Macaca mulatta: one gene and its partners. Each later gene encodes a partner of the first gene's protein in a complex. Links are inferred from orthologs where the notes say so. Each region holds a gene or a part of one and is shown on either strand. Other genes may lie near its edges.

Region 1 (7,286 bases):
ATTAGCCGGCTGTGGTGGCGCATGCCTGTAATCCCAGCTACTCAACTAGCTGAGGCAGGAGAATCGCTTGAACCTGGGAGGCGGAAGTTGCAGTGAGCCGAGATCACACCACTGCACTCCAGCCTGAGCGACAGTGAGGCTCTGTCTCAAAAAAAAAAAAAAGAAAGAAAGAAAAATAAAAAACAAAAGAAATAGAATATTGCAAGTAAAGTTAAAGTCTTCTTTGACTCCTCTTCTCAGTTCCATCACACTCCTTTCTACCCTTTCTTGAAGCAGTAACCATCAGGATATGGTATGTATATCCTTGCAATTAAAAAAAATACATATATCCAATAGCCAATATGCTTTTATGTTTTTGTAAAAAACGTACACAAATGACATTATACTATATATATAATCCCTCTAGATAAAGTTACATATAGTGTTAGGCTTTATGTAATAATTTTGGAAACAGGGTCTTACTCTGTCTCCTAGGCTGGGAACTCCTGGGTTTAAGGAATCCTCCTACCTCGGGCTCCCAAAGTGCTGGGATTACAGGTGGCCTAGACTTTATAAAGCTATTATCACCTCTTTCTGCTTTTCTCAACATTATCCTTTTGACGTCTATCTAAACCTGTGGAAACAGACGACCGTCAATCCTTTTAAATGTTATACAGCATTAAATGTTGTGCACATGTGTGAGGCGTGAGTTTAACTCTCGAGCCTCTCCCTAGAAATGGAAATCCACGGTCACAAGCAATGGGCATTCCCGTTTTACTGTTAGATTCTGCTCTCCCGCGAGAGGTGCTTGGCGTTCCCCTGAGGGTTCTGGGGGAGCTCGGACTTGCGTTCCCAGCAGGCCGGTTCTCCCCCGCGTTGTGACCAATTTGCGTCACTGGGGTTCCCAGCGGACTCAAGTGTGCCCAGGACTGCAGGGAGGACTCCTCGGTTACCGGGACTCTTTCACCATGCTGGACTCTTCTAAGGCGCTTGACTGCGCTGATTTGAGCCTTTTTCCGTCTGCATGTCGGCAGGGGCGCCCAGGAAGTCGGGGTCGCTCTAGCTCAACCTTGTTTGGAGTCTTACAGCTTCAGGCCAACACGGGGCTGGGAAGCTGAGCACTTATTCCGTCCGCGTTCGTAACTGGGGCTGGAAGACGCGCCCAGACTGCAAACAAAATTTTATCATTTTGTTTGTAGGACGCAGCGGCCAAGGCTGCCAACCTATGAAACGCTTTGAGAAGCTGGGCGCTTTGGGAGGCCGAGGCGGGTGGATCCCCTGAAGCCAACCTGGGAGACATAGTAAGATCCTGTCCCTAAAAATTAAAAAAAAAAAAAAAAGAAAAAAAATTACCCCGGATGTGGTGCGCGCCTGTAGTCCCAGCTAATTGGGAGGCTGAGGCGGGAGGATCGTTCGAGCCTGGGAGTTCGAGACCAGCCTGGGCAAAATAGCGAGACTCTGTCTCTTTTTTTTTTTTTGAGACTGAGTCTGGCTCTGTCGCCCAGGCTGGAGTGCAGTGGCCGGATCTCTGCTCACTGCAAGCTCCGCCTCCCGGGTTTACGCCATTCTCCTGCCTCAGCCTCCCGAGTAGCTGGGACTACCGGCGCCCGCCACCTCGCCCGGCTAGTTTTTTGTATTTTTTAGTAGAGACGGGGTTTCACCGTGTTAGCCAAGATGGTCTTGATCTCCTGACCTCGTGATCCGCCCGTCTCGGCCTCCCAAAGTGCTGGGATTACAGGCGTGAGCCACCGCACCCGGCCGAGACTCTGTCTCTTAAAAAAAAATAAGTAGCCATTTTCCGGGGTGGGGGCATCCCTCTCTGGTTCCTCGCTCTCCAACTGGCCCTGGTCCTGGGGGCGTGAAGGCTGCGATCTGGAGAGACAGAGCCGCGGGCTGACTCTGGAGGCCCAGCCTAGGATCCCTTCATTCATTCATCCGTTCTGTCACTCACCCGTCCTGCGCGCACGCGAGCGCCATCCTAAGCCCCAGGACCCCAAGTACCCCAACCCCACGGGGCACAGACAAGGACTGGCTGGCCAGCGCCTGGAAGCCGCGTGCCTGACCGCGTCTGCCCAAGCGAGTACCGCCTCCCACCCAAGAGGTAGCACGGCCGCGACAGTCCGGCCGCGCCCAACGACTCCCGCCCAGGGGCGCGCCGCCTCCCTGTCAGCGCATGCGCGCCCCCGAGCCCGCCCTGGGCGCCGGCGCACGTGGCCCCCACGGGCCGGCATGCGTGCGCGCTCCCGGCTCGCCCTCCCACGCGGTCCATCGCGCCTCCCGCCCCACCCTAAGCGCAGCGCCGGCCGCAGCGGCCGACTGAACCAGGTTGCGTGCGTGCGCGCGCGCACGCGCGGGCCACGTGGGCGGGCGCCGTGCCGTTGCCCCGCCCCTTGTCAACCCCGCCCCCGTCGGCCCCGCCCCTGCCCGCGCGCCGGCGTCGGCTGCGTCTCCGGCGTTTGAATTGCGCTTCCGCCATCTTTCCAGCCTCAGTCGGACGGGCGCGGAGACGCTTCTGGAAGGTAGTGAGACGCGGCGGGCCGGGCGGGGGCAGGGCCGGGCGGGGACAGGGGCGGCGGCGGCGGGATAGGGGCCGGAGCCGGGGTCAGGGCCGGGGCAGGTGGCGGGCCCAGGGACAGCGGGCGGCTGTGAGTAGGTGGGTGGCGCGGGCCCGGCCGTGCCGGGGCAGGAGACGGGCATGGGGTCGGCGCCCGCCCCCGCGAACCCCCGTTTCATCCTCCGCTCTCATTCCCGTCCCGGTCTCAGTCCCGTCCCTATCCCGACTCCTCCGTCCGCCGTTCCCCGCGCCCCGCCGCCCCGGATGCCGGCCCCGCCCGCCGCCTTCCCGCTCCGAGGCCCGGCCGCCATGGCGCCGCGGGCGGGAGGCCTTTGTGGGGCGGGCACGTGGGGCGCTGGGGGCGCGGGAGCGGGGCCGCCATGGGCTGCGGGGCCGCGCGAGCGCTCGCCTCCGTCCTCTGCCTCCGCAGGAACGCCGCGATGGCTGCGCAGGGAGAGCCCCAGGTCCAGTTCAAAGTAGGTAACCCTGCGGGGCGGGAGGCGGCCGAGTCCGACCGCGTGCGACTCGCGGGTCCCTCCTCCCGGACCCACGATGGCTGTAACGGGGCCCCGCATCCATATTCTTTGTTTTAAGTGAGCCTGTGATGGTTAAAGTTCCATGACTCTGGGATCTTGAGAGGTGAAGTGTTTTGGGTTTACTTCCAAATGTGTTCTCCAACAGCTTGTATTGGTTGGTGATGGTGGTACTGGAAAAACGACCTTCGTGAAGCGTCATTTGACTGGTGAATTTGAGAAGAAGTATGTAGGTATGTGCAGGAAAACCTTGCTTGTGGAAATACGTGAGAAATGGGTAAATTCATCCACTCAATCATGTCGTTTCCGTTTTAGCCACCTTGGGTGTTGAGGTTCATCCCCTAGTGTTCCACACCAACAGAGGACCTATTAAATTCAATGTATGGGACACAGCCGGCCAGGAGAAATTCGGCGGACTGAGAGATGGCTATTATATCCAAGGTAGGCATTTGTAACTTGCTGAACAGTTTTTGAGAGGTTTTGTGTACTTCAGTTTTCAAGGTTATAGAAAATCAGGTCTGTTCCAACAAATAGTGCTTAATACTGTAATGGGAATTGTGTCATTTCTGGGTTAAAAAAAGACGTGGACTTCAGGGAGTTGACCACCATTTTGGTGGCAGAGGAGAAAATTTTATGAAAGTTGCATGCTGTGTCATGCTAGGCATGGTTTAGAAAAACCTATGACTTACACTGGAACTTATAAGTCATGTTTAAAACAATAACAGGCTGTTAACAGCAGTTTCAGTATTTGAAAACTTTGGTTCTTGTGTGTAGTTTGGTGTGGCGATCAATGAATATTTCTAGTCCATTACAAAGCAACACCAGATACTAGACCAGAGGAGATAGGAGGTCTTAACAAGTGTTATACAAGACTAGCCGATTTCTTGTTAAATTGTTTGTAGTAAGTTGTGCAGAGTATTTTTCTCAAATAGTTTGATTTAAAAATCTCAAGGAAAATGTTCATTGTACCAAAAAGAGAGGAATAAACAAAATACTCATCTCTCCTGGAACCTCACGTTGCTAATAACACATTATCTGGAATCATTCCATGCCTTTTGCTCTTCTTGAACGTGTACATATAAACACAAGAATTTCCCCCCCAAAAAATCCTTTAACCAAAAAGTTGTGGTTTCTTGCCTTACTAACTGTACCATAGTTATTCCTGCAGGTGAGTATATAGACTTTATCTGGGTTATTTAATTTTTTTTTTTTTGAGACAGGGTCTTGTTTTGTTGCCCAACCTGGAGTGCAGCTTCCGCCTCCTAAGCCTCAGCCTCCTGAGTAGCTGGGACTACAGGCACCTGCCACTTTGCCTGACTAATTTTTGTATTTTTTTTTGGTAGGGATGGGGATTCACCATGTTGCCCATGCTGGTCTGGAACTCATGAGCTCAGGTGATCCACCCACCTCAGCCTCTCAAAGTGCTGGGATTACAGGCATGAGCCACATCGCTTGGCCTATCTGGAGTTTTTAAGACAGGAATGATATTTCCTAGTATAGTCGGCCATTTAAAGACTTTCTGAAGACTATTTCCAGGCCCTACCCTCAGAATATGGCAGCTTGGTTCTCCAGAATCTCACTTGGCATTAATTACTTCAGATAGTGTTTTGGGGATGAGGGGAGTATTAATGGTGAAGTTTATCAGGGAGATTTGATAGAATCAGCTCATCTTTCTTAGGAAGAGTTCTGTGTTAATGTTCTTAGAATTGAAAGAGACTTTGAAAGTGAGGGGAGAGATCTAGGTGCCTTGTTGAGGTCTAAGACTATAGTTGAATCCTAGTCTGCGGTTCTTAGCATTCTTCACTTGTGTGGTAAACAGTGTACTAATTACCGCAACTGTTTCTTTCAGCCCAGTGTGCCATCATCATGTTTGACGTAACATCGAGAGTTACTTACAAGAACGTGCCTAACTGGCATAGAGATCTGGTGCGAGTGTGTGAAAACATCCCCATTGTGTTGTGTGGTAACAAAGTGGACATTAAGGACAGGAAAGTGAAGGCGAAATCCATTGTCTTCCACCGAAAGAAGAATCTTCAGGTGTGTAAAATTAAAACTTCCTGAGTTATTTCTCTTAGCGGAGATTGTATGTAAGACCATGAAATTGACCAGTGTCTATTATATATGGAAATGATTTTTTTTCTCCCAAGATGGAGTCCCGCTCTGTCCCCCAGGCTGGAGTGCAGTGACGCAATCTGGGCTCGCTGCGACCTCCGCCTCCCGGGTTCAAGCAGTTCTCCTGTCTCAGCTCCCCTAGTAGCTGGATTAAAGGCATGTACCACCACGCCTGGCTAATTTTTGTACTTTTTTTTTTTTTTTTTTTTTTTTTTAGTAGAGACGGGGTTTCACCATGTTGGTCAGGCTGATCTCCGACTGCTGACCTTAAGTGATCCACTTGCCTTGGCCTCCTGAAGTGCTGGGATTACAGGCATGAGCCACTGTGCTGGCAGGAAATAATTTTGTCTTTTTTTATACTATTGTTTTTAAAGAATGATAGAGATGGGGTTTCACTGTTGTCTGGGTTGGTCAACTGAGATACGTGTGTGTATTTATATATTCTTTGTTTTTTGAGACAGGGTCTTCCCCTGTTGCCCTGGCGGGAGTGCAGTGTCATGAACATAGCTCACTGCAGCCTTGAACTCCTGGGCTCAAGCAGTCCTCCCACTTCAGCCTTCTGAGTAGCTGGGACCACAGGCATTCAAGACCATGCCCACCTAATTTGTTTTTTTGTAGAGATGGGGTCTTGCTCTGTTGCCCAGGCCTGATCTTGTACTATTGGCCTCAGGCAGTCCTCCCACCTCAGCCCCCCCGCAAAGTGCTGGGATTACAGGCATGAGCCACCATGCCTTGCCAAGAATCTTAACATTTTCTTGTCTTGCCATGTCCTAGAAAAATCGTCATCTTAATGAATTTTAAAAGGTAAAATTATTTTCTTTTAAACAGTACTACGACATTTCTGCCAAAAGTAACTACAACTTTGAAAAGCCCTTCCTCTGGCTCGCTAGGAAGCTCATTGGAGACCCTAACTTGGAATTTGTTGCCATGCCTGCTCTTGCCCCACCGGAAGTTGTCATGGACCCAGCTTTGGCAGCGCAGTATGAGCACGACTTAGAGGTATTACGGCCACTTTGCTGTCTAGGCTATAACGTTTGACTTGTATATTCCTGGCAGTTTTGATCTGGAGTGTTAACATTTTTTCATCTCTTCGTCTAGGTTGCTCAGACAACTGCTCTCCCGGATGAGGATGATGACCTGTGAGAATGGAGCTGGAGCCCAGCGTCAGAAGTCTAGTTTTATAGGCAGCTGTCCTGTGATGTCAGCGGTGCAGCGTGTGTGCCACCTCATTATTATCTAGCTAAGCGGAACATGTGCTTCATCTGTGGGATGCTGAAGGAGATGAGTGGGCTTCGGAGTGAATGTGGCAGTTTAAAAAATACCTTCATTGTTTGGACCTGCATATTTAGTTGTTTTGGAACGCGGTTGATTCCTTGAGTTTCAAATATAAGACTGCTACAGTCACATCACAATATTCAGTGGTGAAATCTTGTTTTGTTACTGTCATTCCCATTCCTTTTCGTTTAGAATCAGAATAAAGTTGTATTTCAAATATCTAAGCAAGTGAACTCATCCCTTGTTTATAAATAGCATTTGGAAATCGCTAAAATAGGGAAATTTTATGCCATGTTAATATTTGAATTGCCTTGCTATTATCGCTTAATTTGAAATCTATTGGGTTAATTTCTCCCTATGTCTACTTTTTATTTTTGTACATTTGAGCCATGTCACACAAACTGATTATGGCAGATCAGCAGTATTCTATTTGGTTAGAAGGGTCACATGGTGTAAATATTAGTGCAGTTAAGCTAAAGCAATGTTTGCTCCACCTTCATTTTGGCTAGGTAGGGTCACCTAGGGAAGAACTTGCTCAAAATTTGTGACCTGTCAGAATAAAAAATAATGTGGTTTGTATATATGAAATAGATATTTTAAGGGTAATACTTTTGTTTTATGGCAAAAGTAATCATGTTTTAATGTAGAACTTCAAACAGGATGGAATATCAGTGGATGGCAGGAGCTTGGGAATTCTTGCTGTTAAGTACAAATTTTGCACTTTTTGAATGTTAGATGCTTAGTGTAAAGTTGATATGCAAGGAAAATGGTCCATGTTTACCCACGGTTTTCAGGTACTCCCGGACTTTAAAGATGTCTTGGACATTAAGTTC
Region 2 (7,186 bases), on another chromosome or scaffold:
TCCTGAACTCCTGGGCTCAAGCGATCTCCCACCTTGCCCTCCCCGAGTGCTGGGATCACAGGACTCCTCCTCTTGGAAGAAGGAGGCCTCCCCTGCCCTCTGCCTCCCAGCAGCCCCAGGCGGGAACACCTGGCCCACCTGAGAACTCTGAATCTAAAGCGAGTTGTTCCTCCCTCTGGTGGTAGCTTTCGGGGCTGCAGGTGCCGAACTGCCAGGTGCAGGGAGAAACACTAGAACACTTATTTATGTTCAATGTTACCCCTCTGGTTTTTTTTTGAGATGGAGTCTCGCTCTGTCACCCAGGCTGGAATGCAGTGGCACAATCTCGACTCACTACAACCTCCGCCTCCCGGGTTCAAGCGATTCTCCTGCTTCAGCCTCCCGAGTAGCTGGGGTTACAGGCGCCACCACGCCCGGCTAATTTTTGTATTTTTAATAGAGACGAGATTTCATGATGTTGGACAGGCTGGTCTCGAACTCCTGACCTCGTGATCTGCCCACCTCAGCGTCCCAAAGTGCTGGGATTACAGGTGTGAGCCACTGTGTCCAGCCACCTGTTTTGTAATTCAGGGTTCTGAGGTGTGATCTAGAGCTTGAATGAATACTGTTGTAGTGCATCATGTAATTTCTATACATATTCATAAAACAGGTAGAGGCAGCAACATTTTGTTGTTGTTTTGATTTGTTTTTTGTTTCTTTCAAACCAGGTCTCCCTGGCTACAGTACAGTGGCACCATCGCGGCTCACTGTAGTCTTGACTTCCTGAACTCAAGCAGTCCCTCCACCTTAGCCTCCTGAGTAGATGGCACTACAAACACACACTACCCTGCCCAGCTAATTTTGGTATTTCTTGTAGAGACAGGGTCTCCCTATGTTGCCCAGGCTGGTCCCGAACTCCTAGGCTCAAGTGATCTCTCGCTTTGGCCTCCCAAAGTGCTGGGATTACAGGTGTGAGCCACTGTGCCCAGCCCATCAAGATTTTTTTACTGTTAGGGTTTGTGAGACTCTCCAACAATGTGAGCCATCCTTGCTTGAATGCCCCAGGGAGAGGCCCTCGGCTAAGCACCTGACATGTCCGAGCCATGTTTATAATTGGGCAAAGCACAAAAAAAGTATAAAAAGGTGTCCCTTCCTTAAGGCAGACATCTACTTGTTGGACGCCTGTCATAGTGTATGGATTTTCTTAGATGAAGTCACTTTGGAAACACCCTCATAACCAGTGTGAAATCTGGGGTGCCTATAGTGCACACAGAGTCCCTTCAGCCATGGGCTCCTTTCACATCACACACGGGATGGCCCTGAGAGGAGGTCACTGCCACTTCACTGCAGACCTGAGAGGGCAAACCGTGTTTGACAGAAGGGGAAACTGAGGCAGAGAAGACCTGACTCACTGCAGGTCATGCAGCAAGGACGCAGTAGGCCAAGCCCTGGCCCTGCATTGCTGGAGTCCCTGCCTGAGCTCTTGGGCACGCAGCTCTGCTCCTCCGCTGAGGACACCATGCCTGTTCCACCCGCCCATCCTCTTCCCAGGATGCTCGCATCCGCCTACCTGCGTGTAGCAGCGCAGGAGCAGCCCCTTGTCCTTCAGCAGGCGCATAAAGTAGTGACAGATGGTCGGCTGCAGGGAAGAACGACAGCACTGCTGATCATTGCAGGGAACAGCCACAGGCCACTACCATGCGCCAGGAACTGTTCTAGGCACTGCGACTGTCTTACCCCCAGGGAATAAGCAAAGCAGCCGTGTTGGGGAGAGACCACCACTATCCCCAGATCACAGATGAGGAAACTGAAGGACAGGGAAGGGGACTGTGTCGCCAAAGTCACATGGTGGGTAAGCTGCAAAGCTGCGATTCGCACCCAGGCAGCCTGGCTGCAGGGTCCCGGGCTCTCCACCGCATCATGGGTGCAGCTAAGCCTCGCAGCAGCCCTCTTCAGACAGTACCATCAGCTTCGCTTCACAGGAGGCAAATCGGAGGCTCAAGGTCGTAAGATGAAGACATGAGGAACCAGGACACGAATGCAGGCAGTCTGGGCCCAGCACCCATGTACTTAATGGCTACATAATATTTGTCTGCAGGGCCCTGGGGGCGCTTCCCATGCGTGCCCTCCCCCAACCTTTCCTGTTTTGCCCCCTGCAAAAAAAAGATCTCACCTTGAACTGCCCAGGATAGAGCTCCTTGGCGAGGGCGAAGAAGGGTTCCGGATGTTTCTGTAGGAGAGACAGCCAGAGGGCCAGATGCCCCAGGTAGGACGAGGGTTGGAGCCAGGTGACCCCCATCCCACCCCTCACAGACGCCCCTTCCTGGGGGAACACAAACCTTGAAATAGCTGATCTCGAAGATGGCCTCTGGGTAGGGAAGATGGTACTTCTCTAGGTTGTCATAGAGGCCAGTGGATGGAGAGCGAAAGTCGGGAATGCCCGCAGCTGGGAGAGGGGGGTCAGGGAGCAGTTGGTCTATACCCTACTAACTCTCCCAGGACAGGCCTCAGACAGGGCTCCTCCCCAGCCCTTGGGAGGGACTCCCCAATTCCTGGGGGTGGTTGCTGGGGAGTAGGGTTACTTACATGTGGAGATTCCAGCACCCACCAAACAGATGACTCTGCGACCTGGAGGAGAGGAACTTATGCACCATATGACACTGTTTGCTCAGTCCCTATAATAGCACCACCCATCACGGCCCCTGACACCGTTTACTCCATGCCAGGCCCTGGGGCAAGCATCTCAGATGCATGATGGGCCTTCCAATCATCTAGAGAGGGATGGTGTTAACATCCCCATTCTATAAACGAGCAAACTGGGGCTCAGATAGGGGAAGAAGTCACACAATGGACTGCGGAAGAGCCAGCCAGAGGATAAAGAATCCAGTGTTTGGCTGGGTGCGGTGGTTCATGCCTGTAATCCCAGAACTTTGGGAGGCTGAGGTAGGCGGGTCACCTGAGGTCAGGAGTTTGAGAGCAGCCTGGCCAACATGGCGAAAACCCGTCTCTACTGAAAATACAAAATTAGCTGGGAGTGGTGGCACGTGCCTGTAATCCCAGCTACTTGGGAGGCTGAGGCAGGAGAATCACTTGAACCCAGGAGGTGGAGGTTGCAGTGAGCCAAGATCATGCCATTGCACTCCAGCCTGGGTGACAGAGCAAGACTCCATCTCAAAAAAAGGGGGGAAAAAAAAGAATCCACTGTTGGAAATTATACCAACTTAGACTTGAGAAAAGGCCACTTGAGGATAAGAGCCCAGGGCTAAACAGAAATAGCTGGTGGCTGGTGATTAGCCACCAGGCCATAGTACTCTGGCATCTGCCCATCAGCTGATAGACAGGCACAAGTGTGACATGCTGTGGGTCAGATGCCTCTGGGATACCCTGTCCAAGGGAGTACAGCAAAGGTGAACAGAGCACAAAGCCTGCCACAGCTTCAGCCCTGAGCTTTAACTCTGAGATGCCATCGGGCCAGGCCTGGTTGAATCCAGTGGTGGCTATATATGGTCTGGATTCAGGGGACCTGGGGTCAAATCCTGCCTCTGCCACTTGGCAGCTGTTTGACCCTGCACTGAGTCACTACCTTTTTGTGCCTCCGTTTCCTCCTGTGTCCAGATCACTTCCATAATGGTCTTATGGGTATAATGTGAAGATCAAATAATAGGACACTTGTAAAGTGCTGAGCCCAGTGCCTGGCAAATAGTGAAGGCTCAATTAAGTAGTTAAAAAGAAATTTTTAGGGCTGGGCCTGGTGGCTCACACCTGTAATCCCAGCACTTTGGGAGGCCGAAGGGGGTCAGATCACCTGAGGTCAGAAGTTCAAGACCAGCCTGGCCAATATGCTGAAACCCTGCCTCTACTAAAAGTACAAAAATTAGCTGGGCGTGGTGGCAGGCGCCTGTAGTCCCAGCTACTTGGGAGACTAAAGCAGGAGAATTGCTTGAACCTGGGAGGCGAAGGTTGCAGTGGGTCAAGATAGCGCCACTGCATTCCAGCCTGGGCAACAGAGTGAGACTCCGTCTCAAAAAAATAAATACATAAATAAATAAAGCTTTAGAGCGGTTAGGTGAGGGTTGGAGCCTCACCTTTATATTTTTGCAGAGAAGGGGTCTTGCTTGTTGCCCCAGCTGGTCTTGACCTCCTGGCCTCAAGCGATCTTCCTGCTTTCTACCTCCCCAAATGCTGGGATTATAGGCCTGAACCACCACGCCCAGCCTCAATTAATTGTTATTGTTCATTACTATCTCCTCATGGGCACCCTCATGAGCCAATTACCCCAGAATCCAGGAGCAGGAGGACACAAGGAACAAATGCTTTGTAGCCACTGCCTGTGTTGTCTTTGGGGCCTGCCCATGCTAAAAGATGGCTGCAGACAGCTGCTTGCCTGCCGCAGGAGAGGGAGGCTCAGGGCAGCAGGCCTGGCTGCCCGAGGAGAGAGATGGTGGCAGCTGGAGGACAGGGACACTGGAGAAGACGTCCTCAACAAAAGGCTGCTCAGGAACCACAAAGGGTCGATTGTTCTAGTTGAGGACTGCTGAGGGCCTGGTTTCTCAGACTTCGGTGACCTCAACTCATGGCAAGAAATATAAATTTCAGGCCAGGCGGGGTGGTTCACGCGTGTAATCCTAGCACTTTGGGAGGCTGAGGAGGGTGGATTGCCTGAGCTCAGGAGTTTGAGACCAGCCTGGGCAACATGGTGAAACCCCGTCTCTACTGAAATAAAAAAATTAGCCAGGCGTGGTGGTGTGCTTCTGTAATCCCAGCTACTTGGGAGGTTGAGGCAGGAGAATTGCTGGAACCCAGGAGGCGGAGGTTGCAGTGAGCTGAGATTGTGCCACTCCACTGCACTCCAGCCTGGGCAACAAAGCAAGACTCCATCTCAAAAAAAAAAAAAAAAAAAAAAAAAAAAAAAAAAAAAAAGAAATATAAATTTCATGGTGACTCAGTAAGTAGACACCTATCCACCATATCTGAAACAAGCCTCCTGTAGTAATAACCACGGCACACGCTGCCACAGCTCTCGCTATGTTCCAGACTCTGCTCTAAGCATTTGCATTTTTATTAATTTATTTTTAAAATTTTATTTATTTATTTATTTTTTAGAGTCAGGGTCTCACTGTGTTGCCCAGGCTGCAGTGCAGTGGTGCCATCATAGCTCACTGCAGCCTCCAACTCCTGGGCTCAAACAATCCTCCCTTCTCAGCCTCCTGAGTAGCTAAGACTACAGGCAACGCCCCCACATCTGGCTATTTTTTTTCTTGTAGAGATGGGGGGGTCTCACTATGTTGCCCAAGCTGGTCTTGAATGCCTGGTGTTGAGTGATTCTCCCGCGATGGCCTCCCAAAGTGCTGAGATTACATACATGAGCCACTGCACCTGGTCCTATATTAATTTATTTAGTCCCCCAATAACCTTATGAGTTAGATACCATAATCATTATCCCCATTTTATGAAACAGGCCTGGTCAGTCAGCGTACAGTAATTCACTCAGCAATGGAGAAGCGACCCAGGTCTGGCCAATCGGAGACTTGGGGGCAGGCACGTGACTCAACCTGGCTCAGTGGGAGCGAATCTCTGCTGTTTGGTTTGAACTACTGGGAAAAGGTGCTCTCTCGGTGGCAGCTCCTAGGTTGGTGGAACCTGCATTTGGAACTGCCAGGAGTTACCTTTACCCCGACACAAGAAAAGCAGCATCAGAGAGAGTTACGATTTTTAACAAAGTGGAAGCACCTAGGCCCAGCCGTGCTTCAAGCTGGATTAGAGCCAACACACTCCTCTTTGGCTTAAGCCGGTTCCAGTTGTGTTTCTTGCTACTTGTAAAGAAAAGGTTTCAATACATGGTTCAAGTGGCTGGGGATGGGAGGTCACTTGAGGCCAGGAGCTGGGCACAGTGGCCCAATCCTGACAGGGGACTCACAGCGTTCGCTCTGCATGTACCGGGCCACCCCTTCCAAGGTCAGTTCGTCCAGCAGACGCTCCTTCTGGCTGCCCAGGCTGAGCGTCTGGGAGAATAAGTTCCGCAGGAAGTCCACTGGCCAGAGAGAAGAGACACAGCGGCAGGACCGGGCATTCAGCCAGGGGGCATGGATGTCTCCAGCACCCTGGCCCCAGCCCTGGGGTCCCCGGCCTCCCCACATCTAAAGGCACGAGGCCTGGCCCAGCCAGGAGCCTCCAGGAGCCTGCTCTGGCACTGGTACCCGACCCACTGTTACATACTTTGAATGTCACTCCTGATGGAGTTGAGGAGGTATCACCCACACCCCTGCCCTGAAATCCCCCCGCCCCCCAGAACCCTGCTCCCCATCCTTCGAGGAAGATACTCACTGTCTGCTTCTCCACCAGCGGCTCCTCCCTCAGAGTCTGAATCTGAGTCCTGGAAGGGGTGAGGTGGGGTGGCCAGGCCCGAGAGGTGGGATTAGGGAGGGAGGGGAGGGGGTGATACCAGGTTTGGGGAAAAGGCTGTGGCAGGAAGGTGGCCTGAGGAAGTGTGGGGTGGTGGAGAGACTGCACTGGGGCTAGCTCGAGGGCTCTGGGACAGGCTGCCTGGGTTGGAGTCCTGGCCATGCCAGTCCCCAGGAGCACAACCTCATGGGAGTGGCTTCGCTTTTCTTTTCTTTCTTTCTTTCTTTCTTTTTTTTGAGACAGTGTCTCGCTCTGTCACCCAGGCTGGGGTGCACTGGCGCAGTCACAGCTCACTGCAGCCTCAACCTCCCAAGTTCAAGGGATCCTCCTACCTCAGCCTCCCAAGTAGCTGGGACCACAGGCGCATGCACTACGCCAGGCTAATCTTGTTTTGTTTGTGTTTTTGTAGAGACAAGGTCTCCCTGTGTTGCCCAGGGTGGCCTTGAACTCCTGGGCTCAAGCAAGTCTCCTGCCTCGGCCTCCTAAAGTGCTGAGATTACAGGCGTGTGCCACTGTGCCTGGCTGTGACTCTGATTTTCTAAGTCTGGGTGTCCCTCACCTTGGAAAGGGAGTGTGGGTGCTGGGTGCGGCACCAGGAGCGGGGAAGGTGCTCGGTAAGCGCTGGCTGTTGCTGTTAATATTATCACAGCCTGGGGTCTTCCCTTTGTCCCTGGGTGCCCTGGAGCATGGGCCTGCTGTCCCTTCCCAGCAGCTCTGGGGACCTCTGAATAATGTCCCAAGTCACTCTGGGAATGATTCCAATGCAAAGCCTCAGTGCTCACTGCAAGGACCTATGTGCCCCCTC
Region 3 (7,186 bases), on another chromosome or scaffold:
TCTCAGAAATCACCATTAAAGACTTTATTCATGTAATCACCAGTTGCCCCAAAACTATTGAAATTAAAAAAAAAATTTGTGAATATTAAAAAAAAAAGCCTATGGAGAAAAATTATAATCTAAGTTACGACCATTACCACCCTTTCACCATTTCTGAAAGCTTAGCTGATTCTGTATGAACTTCTACAACATCACTACTCAGTAGAATTTGGTATTACATAAACCAATTATTACTAGGCCCCTCTCCCATAACTCAATTCTGCCTATGGACTCACCTGGAGTGCAGTGGAACAGTTGATTAAACTGCTTATAGGATTTTCTCAGATGTTCATATATGTAATTCATGCATTCAAAACTCTGAACAAGTAATACCTTCCTATGTACAAGTATATAACTATCTATATTTGTATTTTTGGATTGACAGGCAAATGAATAAAAGAACATCTTTTAAATTTATTTACCCGTATCTGCGACATTCCTCATAGTATGTTTGAAGGCCCAAATGATGGAATCCAAAACAAGTTTAAACTGTGTAGGTGGAATAGCAAGGAATGCTGGGAAACAATGAGAATTGACAGCCTGAAGTAGTAAGAAAAAGTTCGTTCTGTGTTCAGGATATTCTTCAAAGTCCTAAAAATAAGTGGTGGAAACAAAATAATGTTTCAGTGTCTTCGCTGTGCTAGCAGGAGGGGAAAAGCAAGGCTTAATCCAGTAAAAATGTTTGGAGTTTTCAATAAACCATAGAAGATATAATGCCTCCTGAAAGATAAACCCAAACAAAATACAATCCACCTCCCATGGAAAATGAAACTGTTCCCTGTTACGCACATGAGTTATCAAATTGAAAGAGAAAGCTATCCTTATTAATAGAGAACTCATCAAAACCATTATTACCGTAACACTACTACTATCACTTTTGTTTTTAATTTGAAACCACCACTACAGATTACGAAAAAATTTAAGTTACCATGTGAATGTGTCCACTTACCATTTCTTTTATCTCTCGCTTTTTTTTTTTTTTTGGAGACAGAGTCTTGCTCTGTCGCCCAGGCTGGAGTGCAGTGGTGCAATTTCAGCTCACCGCAACTTCCGCCTCCTGGGTTCAAGCGATTCTCTTGCCTCAGCCTCCCGAGTAGCTAATTTTTGTTTTTTAGTAGAGACGGGGTTTCACCATGTTGATCAGGGCGGTCTTGAACTCCTGATCTCAGGCAATCCACCGGCCTCGGCCTCCCAACTGTTGGGATTACAGGCATGGGCCACCGCGCCTGGCCATTTTTGTATTTTTTTTTTTTTTTTTTGAGACAGAGTCTCGCTCTGTCACCCAGGCTGGAGTGCAGTGGCGCGATCTCGGCTCACTGCAAGCTCTGCCTCCCGGGTTCACGCCATTCTCCTGCCTCAGCCTCCCGGGTAGCTGGGACTACAGGCGCTCGCCACTTCGCCCGGCTAGTTTTTTGTATTTTTTTTAGTAGAGACGCGGTTTCACTGTGTTAGCCAGGATGGTCTCGATCTCCTGACCTCGTGATTCGCCCGTCTCGGCCTCCCAAAGTGCTGGGATTACAGGCTTGAGCCACCGCGCCCGGCCTTGTATTTTTAATGCCATGTTGGCCAGACTGGTCTTGAACTTCTGACCTCACGTCATCTGCCTGCCTTGGCCTTCTGAAGTGCTGGGATGACAGGTGTGAGCCACCATTCCCAGCCTATTTTCTCTTGTTGATTAATACATTTTTCGGTTTCTTATAAGCATATACTACACTTTTATAATTGAATCATGCAGACTTTCTCATGTATTCAAACTAACTACGTTCATAAAAGGATGCCCCGACCTGCTATGAGGTTTCAATAAATGCTACATACCATGTGAATGTTAAAATCTATTTTCCACATTTACTTTTTACCAATCAAGATTCTGTGTAGTAAATTCTTCTTTTTTAAGAAATGGTCTGACTCTGTTGCCCATGTTAGAGTGCAGTAGCATGATCTCAGCAAACTGCCACGTTGAACTCCCAGGCTCAAGTAATCCTCCCACTTCAGTGTCACTGTCGCTCAGCCACTTCAGTAGCTGGGACTACAGGCACATGCCACCATGACTGGTTAATTTTTTAACTTTTTGTAGAGATGAAGTCTCACTATATTGCCCAGGTTGGTTTCAAACTCCTGGGAAGTTCTTGAAAACAAAAAAAGTATTTCCCTAATATACAAGTATAAATATTTAAGCTCCATGGCATTAAAATTATGTTATATCCATAGATATACTTTAGCCTTCAAGAATTAAGGCTATCCGCTAGAATTTTCCCCGTACATAACTGAAATATTACACACCTTATTTATCATATTCAATGTGCATTCAAAAACAGCATCAAATATTTGAGGTATTTCAGCTGTTATATGTCCCCCTAACTTGTTGACAATTATGGCCATAGTACTAAGCACTTCTGGTTCTCTAGCAGCTGGGACATTTCTCTGATAATCAATGAGAACTGCATCCAACAGAGGGGGAACAAAATTTTCAGCTACCTGTTGAGGAGGGAAAAAAAAAGTTATGTTTTAATCTAGGTACGTGGTGACTATTTTAAACAACAAGGTTATTCGTGTCTGTAAGACGTAGCATGATTATCTACTGAAAATAGGAAAATCTTGTGTTTGTATTAGGTTTTCCTACGTTAAAACAGTTTTTAGCAAAAGAAAGCAGGAAATCACAATGGGTTGGGAAGTCTCATGGAAACAGTGTCATTCAAAACTTTTTTTTTTTTTTTGAGACAGTCTCACTGTCAACTCAGACCAGAGTGCAGTGGCAAATCTCTGCTCACTGCAACCTCCACCTCCCAGGTTTAAGCAATTCTTGTGCCTCAGTCTCCTGAGTAGCTGGGACTACAGGTATAGCATCATGCCCAGCTACAAAACTCTTATAATAAGGAAAGTGAGGCTCAAAATTCAATTGGTGGCTCCAAGTTAGTGTGGCACAATCAGGATTCAATGTATACTGTATATGTAAGACGGCAGCAAGCGAGCCCTCAATAATGTCTTTTTTTTTTTTTTTTTTTTAAGAGGGAGTCTCGCTCTGTCGCCCAGGCTGGAGTGCAGTGGTGCCATCTCAGCTCACTGCAAGCTCCACCTCCCAGGTTCATGCCATTTTCCTACCTCAGCCTATCGAGTAGCTGGGACTACAGGCACCTGCCACCATGCCCAGCTAATTTTTTTGTATTTTTAGTGGAGACAAGGTGTTTCACGAGGTTAGCCAGAGTGGTCTCCATCTCCTGACCTCATGATCTGCCCAACTCAGAATAATGTTTTAATCTAATGAATGCTAACTGTATTTTCACAAGCAGAAATAACATCAATCAATTACTCTCAGAAAATAAGAAAGACTATGGATTTCTATTATTTTTTTGAAACTGAATATTGCCGTGTTGCCTAAACTGGACTTGAAGAGCTGGGGCGATTCTCTTGCCTCAGCCTCCCTAGTGGTTGGGATTACAGGTGCATGCTACGATGCCCAGTAGGATTTTCATGGTTCTAAGTAAACTCAGTTATACTTAATGAGTAACTTCTTGTTCTTTTTTTTTTTTTTTTTTTGAGATGAAGTTTCGCACTTGTTGCCCAGACTGGAGTGCAATGGTGCGATCTAGGCTCACTGCCACCACCTTCCTGGGTTCAAGCGATTCTCCTGCCTCAGCCTCCTGACCTCAAGGGATCCACCGACCTCGGCCTCCCAAAATGCTGGGATTACAGGCATGAGTCACCGTGACAAGCCAAGACAAGAAAAATAAATGTAATGTTTCATGTGAACAAATATCCCAAACTTTATCATTAATGTTACTTATAAAATATGATACCCCTTTGTATTATTCCCACTGTGCTCCTGACATGTGCCCAAGCTTCTTGTAAACTACAAGCATCACAATTCCTTCAATACATCTTACATTCTGCTTTCACATTTTAAATACAGTTCTGATCACATAATACACATGTTCAGAACCTTTCGATATTTAGGTTAGCCAACTTAAGTATTCCATGAGAATTATATTCAGAACAAGTTTACTGAAAAGTATTTCCTTAACAAGAAACAATACTGAAATTCCAAAATTATTAAAATAACTAGCACACTTGTTAAAGAAAAACAAAAAAAACCCACTATTCCAACTAGTAGTAGTATCAGAATAGAATTTTTTGGAATCTCCCAAGGCTCAAGTGAATAAAAAGAATGAAACCATACAGTTAACACCTAAAAGTAATTCACAATTTTACAAGTTGAGGCATACGCAGCTGGTTTTTATTACTGAAAATGATTTCCTTTTCTGCAAATCATTTAAGAAAAAGAGTGTAAAAAAGACTTTCAAGCCTTTAATCTGGGAAGCAATCACTTTGCCAAAGAGGTAAAGTAATGACAACTTTGTAGCTCTAGTAATTGTTCCAAAAATCAAGAGGAATGCAAAAACTGCACCCGTACTCCATTAACTAAATCCTCCTGACCTATCTATGGAAACATAAAATGACCCAATTTTCTTAGCTATCTTGTTACATATCACCACCCTTCGCTATTGATTAACAGCAGTTTCTTTTGAAGATGGAATACAGTATATTAACATTAAGGACTACAATAAATAAAATGCCATAAAATAACTACAAAGTTGATATGCTTTAAATTAGCAAAATGCACATAATAGAGTATAGCACACTCCATAAAACACAGCATCAACACTAAAAACCAAAAGCAAAGCATCTCTCACTTACCATTTGTGGATCATTCGATCGGCTCACCCAACCAGATATTAACTTTAAAGTTTCCCTTTTTACAGTTCGCATACTTCTAATCAATGGTTGCTTTGTAACCATTTCACCTACAAAATTGAATCAAATGGAATCTAATTTTACCACTAAAATTATACAGCGGTACTCAGGTGTACATTAGATGCAATTCCATTTTACCATTAAAAAGTTTAAAGCCAAAACTACACAAGATTTATTGGGAAAATAAGCTTTAAGACTAATTTTAAAAGGGAAAGGTACACATAACTATTTTAAATATGTGTAGGGTCATCTGGGAAATGGGAGGTCTAATTTAAATCTGTGAAAAATATCAAATGTTTGACTTGAGGCAGTAGAAGAGAAGTGTTTATACTGCATCGTATAAGAAATCAGAATCACCTACCATTAGCTTGGATAGCTGCAGAAATATTTTCACTGAGGCACTTGTATACATTAAGCATATCTAAATAAATTCTTCCAAGCTGAATTACAAAGGGGTGTCCAACAGCTTTGCAGGCTCTCACATTTGTCTTCAAAATGCTACCAAGCTGCTTGACTGTTTCAGGATCTTTCAGTATATCCACATTCTTGGAGAAAAAAAAGCAAATTCCATTTATCATGTAAGAATTATCCACATAATGGCCAGGTGAGGTGGCTCACACCTATAATCCCAGCACTTTGGGAGGCTGAGTCAGGCACATCACCCTGAGGTCGGGAGTTCAAGACCAGCCTGACCAACATGTAGAAACCCTCTCTCTACTAAAAATACAAAATCAGCCAGGCATGGTGGCGCTTGTTTGTAATCCCAGCTACTTGGAAGGCTGAGGCAGGAGAATTCCTTGAGCCTGGGAGGCAGAGGCTGCAGCGAGCTGAGATCATGCCATTGCACTACAGCCTGGGCACCAAGAGTGAAACTCCGTCTCAAAAAAAAAAAAAAAATTATCCACATAATTACTGAAACAAAAGCCATTACACTTCCCTTACCCTAAATCATATTTATAATCCCAAATGGTAAAAACGAACACAAAAGCCTTTTTGTCCATATCTACCTAAGAATGAAGTAAAATATTTTTTGAGACGGAGTCTCGTTTATTCGCCCAGGCTGGAGTGCAGTGGCGTGATCTTGGCTCACTGCAAGCTCTGCCTCCTGGGTTCACGCCATTCTGTCTCAGCCTCCTGAGCACAGCTGGGACTTACAGGTGCCCGGTGCCACGCCCAGCTAATTTTTGTACTTTTAGTAGAGACGGAGTTTCACTGTGTTAGCCAGGATGGTCTGGAGCTCCTGACCTTGTGATCTGCCTGACTCGGCCTCCCAAAGTGCTGGGATTACAGGCGTGAGCCACCGCGCCCGGCCCAGATTTTCAGGTTTTTTTTTGAGATGGAGTCTTGCTCTGTCGACTAGGCTAGAGTACAGAGGCTCGATCTCGGCTCACTGCAACCTCTGCCTCTTGGGTTCAAGTGATTCTCCTGCCTCAGCCTCCTGAGTAGCTGGGATTACAGGCATGTGCCACCAAGCCCAGCTAATTTCTGTATTTTTAGTAGAGATGGGGTTTTGCCATGCTGGCTAGGCTGATCTCGAACTTCTGGCCTCAGGTGATCCGCCCGCCTCAGCCTCCCAAAGTGCTAGGATTACAGGCGTGAGCCACCACGCCTGGCCCAGATAATAAAATGTACAAAGCCACACATAAAAGCACTTACGGATCACACATACATGTTTAAAGGCTTGAATTCAATATATTTGTAAGGAACACAGTCTTCTTAAATCCCATGAAAACTTTAAGAAAAAGTAGAATACTTACTTTGGTTGCCTGCTGGATTATACTATCCCACACTTGATTAGGGAGTAACATGTACTTTTCTATCAAGTGTTCTTGTACTGTTTGATCTGTTTGTGCACCAATCATGTACCCCACAGCTTCATAAAACGTATGAACCTATTTTAAAAAGCAGACATTTTAACTTTTATGTTCTTATACACCCTAATAAGGAAAACCACACACAAGCAATTCACACACAAGCAACTCAAATATCTTGAAACTGATTTTGGCCCAGGTGCGGTGGGGATCACTCCTGTAATCCCAGTACTTTGAGAAGCTGAGGCAGGCCAATCACTTGAGTTCAGGAGTTGCAGACCAGCCTGACCAACGTGGTGAAACACCATCTCTTCTACAAATACAAAGAAATTAGCCAGGCATGGTGGCAAGTGCCTATAATTCCAGTTACTTGGGAGGCTTGAATTGCTTGAACCTGGGAGGCAGAGGTTGCAGTGAGCCGAGATTATACCACAGCACTCCAACCTGGGTGACAGAGGTAGACTCCATCTCAAAACAAAACAAACAAACAAACAAACAAAACCCAAACCAGGCATGGTGGTGGCTCATGCCTGTAATCCCAATACTTTGGGAGGCCGAGGCGGGCGGATCACAAGGTCAGGAGTTTG

Evidence for each region.
Region 2: the proteins of RAN (region 1) and SIRT2 are in contact, whole or in part, in a crystal structure (PDB 5FYQ), measured with the Homo sapiens proteins. The link is inferred for Macaca mulatta from reciprocal best matches to the Homo sapiens genes RAN and SIRT2. Residues at the interface, in NP_006316.1 of Homo sapiens: Phe35, Glu36, Lys37, Lys38, Tyr39, Val40; in NP_036369.2 of Homo sapiens: Phe96, Arg97, Glu116, Phe119, Gln167, Ile169, His187, Ile232, Val233, Phe234, Phe235, Gly236, Glu237, Ser238, Leu239, Phe244, Gln265, Val266, Gln267, Pro268.
Region 3: the proteins of RAN (region 1) and XPO1 are in contact, whole or in part, in a crystal structure (PDB 7B51), measured with the Homo sapiens proteins. The link is inferred for Macaca mulatta from reciprocal best matches to the Homo sapiens genes RAN and XPO1. Residues at the interface, in NP_006316.1 of Homo sapiens: Lys12, Lys37, Lys38, Tyr39, Val40, Ala41, Leu43, Gly44, Val45, Val47, Trp64, Glu70, Lys71, Gly74, Leu75, Arg76, Asp77, Gly78, Tyr79, Ile81, Gln82, Val96, Pro102, Asn103, Arg106, Arg110, Val111, Glu113, Val124, Asp125; in NP_003391.1 of Homo sapiens: Leu35, Tyr36, His37, Gln43, Arg44, Gln47, Leu50, Thr51, Lys54, Glu55, Asn74, Tyr77, Tyr78, Gln81, Lys124, Val125, Lys129, Met132, Leu173, Glu176, Glu177, Phe181, Gln185, Lys266, Thr269, Glu270, Asp313, Gln316, Asn317, Gln320.

Annotation. Positions count from the first base shown.
Region 1 is NC_133416.1:138,252,067-138,259,352, forward strand, and holds RAN (GTP-binding nuclear protein Ran), read left to right. Parts: upstream 1-2,466; 5' UTR 2,467-2,498; intron 2,499-2,963; 5' UTR 2,964-2,973; coding exon 2,974-3,009; intron 3,010-3,214; coding exon 3,215-3,299; intron 3,300-3,381; coding exon 3,382-3,507; intron 3,508-4,915; coding exon 4,916-5,103; intron 5,104-6,006; coding exon 6,007-6,177; intron 6,178-6,276; coding exon 6,277-6,321; 3' UTR 6,322-6,682; downstream 6,683-7,286. UniProt on the Homo sapiens protein: GTPase involved in nucleocytoplasmic transport, participating both to the import and the export from the nucleus of proteins and RNAs. Switches between a cytoplasmic GDP- and a nuclear GTP-bound state by nucleotide exchange and GTP hydrolysis.
Region 2 is NC_133424.1:49,983,221-49,990,406, forward strand, and holds part of SIRT2 (NAD-dependent protein deacetylase sirtuin-2), read right to left. Parts: intron 6,353-7,186; coding exon 6,304-6,352; exon of another isoform or gene 6,301-6,303; coding exon of another isoform or gene 6,300-6,300; intron 6,011-6,299; coding exon 5,897-6,010; intron 3,672-5,896; exon of another isoform or gene 3,606-3,671; coding exon of another isoform or gene 3,563-3,605; intron 2,608-3,562; coding exon 2,566-2,607; intron 2,426-2,565; coding exon 2,319-2,425; intron 2,210-2,318; coding exon 2,153-2,209; intron 1,619-2,152; coding exon 1,550-1,618; intron 1-1,549. UniProt on the Homo sapiens protein: NAD-dependent protein deacetylase, which deacetylates internal lysines on histone and alpha-tubulin as well as many other proteins such as key transcription factors.
Region 3 is NC_133418.1:63,243,852-63,251,037, reverse strand, and holds part of XPO1 (exportin-1), read right to left. Parts: intron 6,681-7,186; coding exon 6,546-6,680; intron 5,334-6,545; coding exon 5,150-5,333; intron 4,839-5,149; coding exon 4,732-4,838; intron 2,515-4,731; coding exon 2,320-2,514; intron 631-2,319; coding exon 462-630; intron 1-461. UniProt on the Homo sapiens protein: Mediates the nuclear export of cellular proteins (cargos) bearing a leucine-rich nuclear export signal (NES) and of RNAs.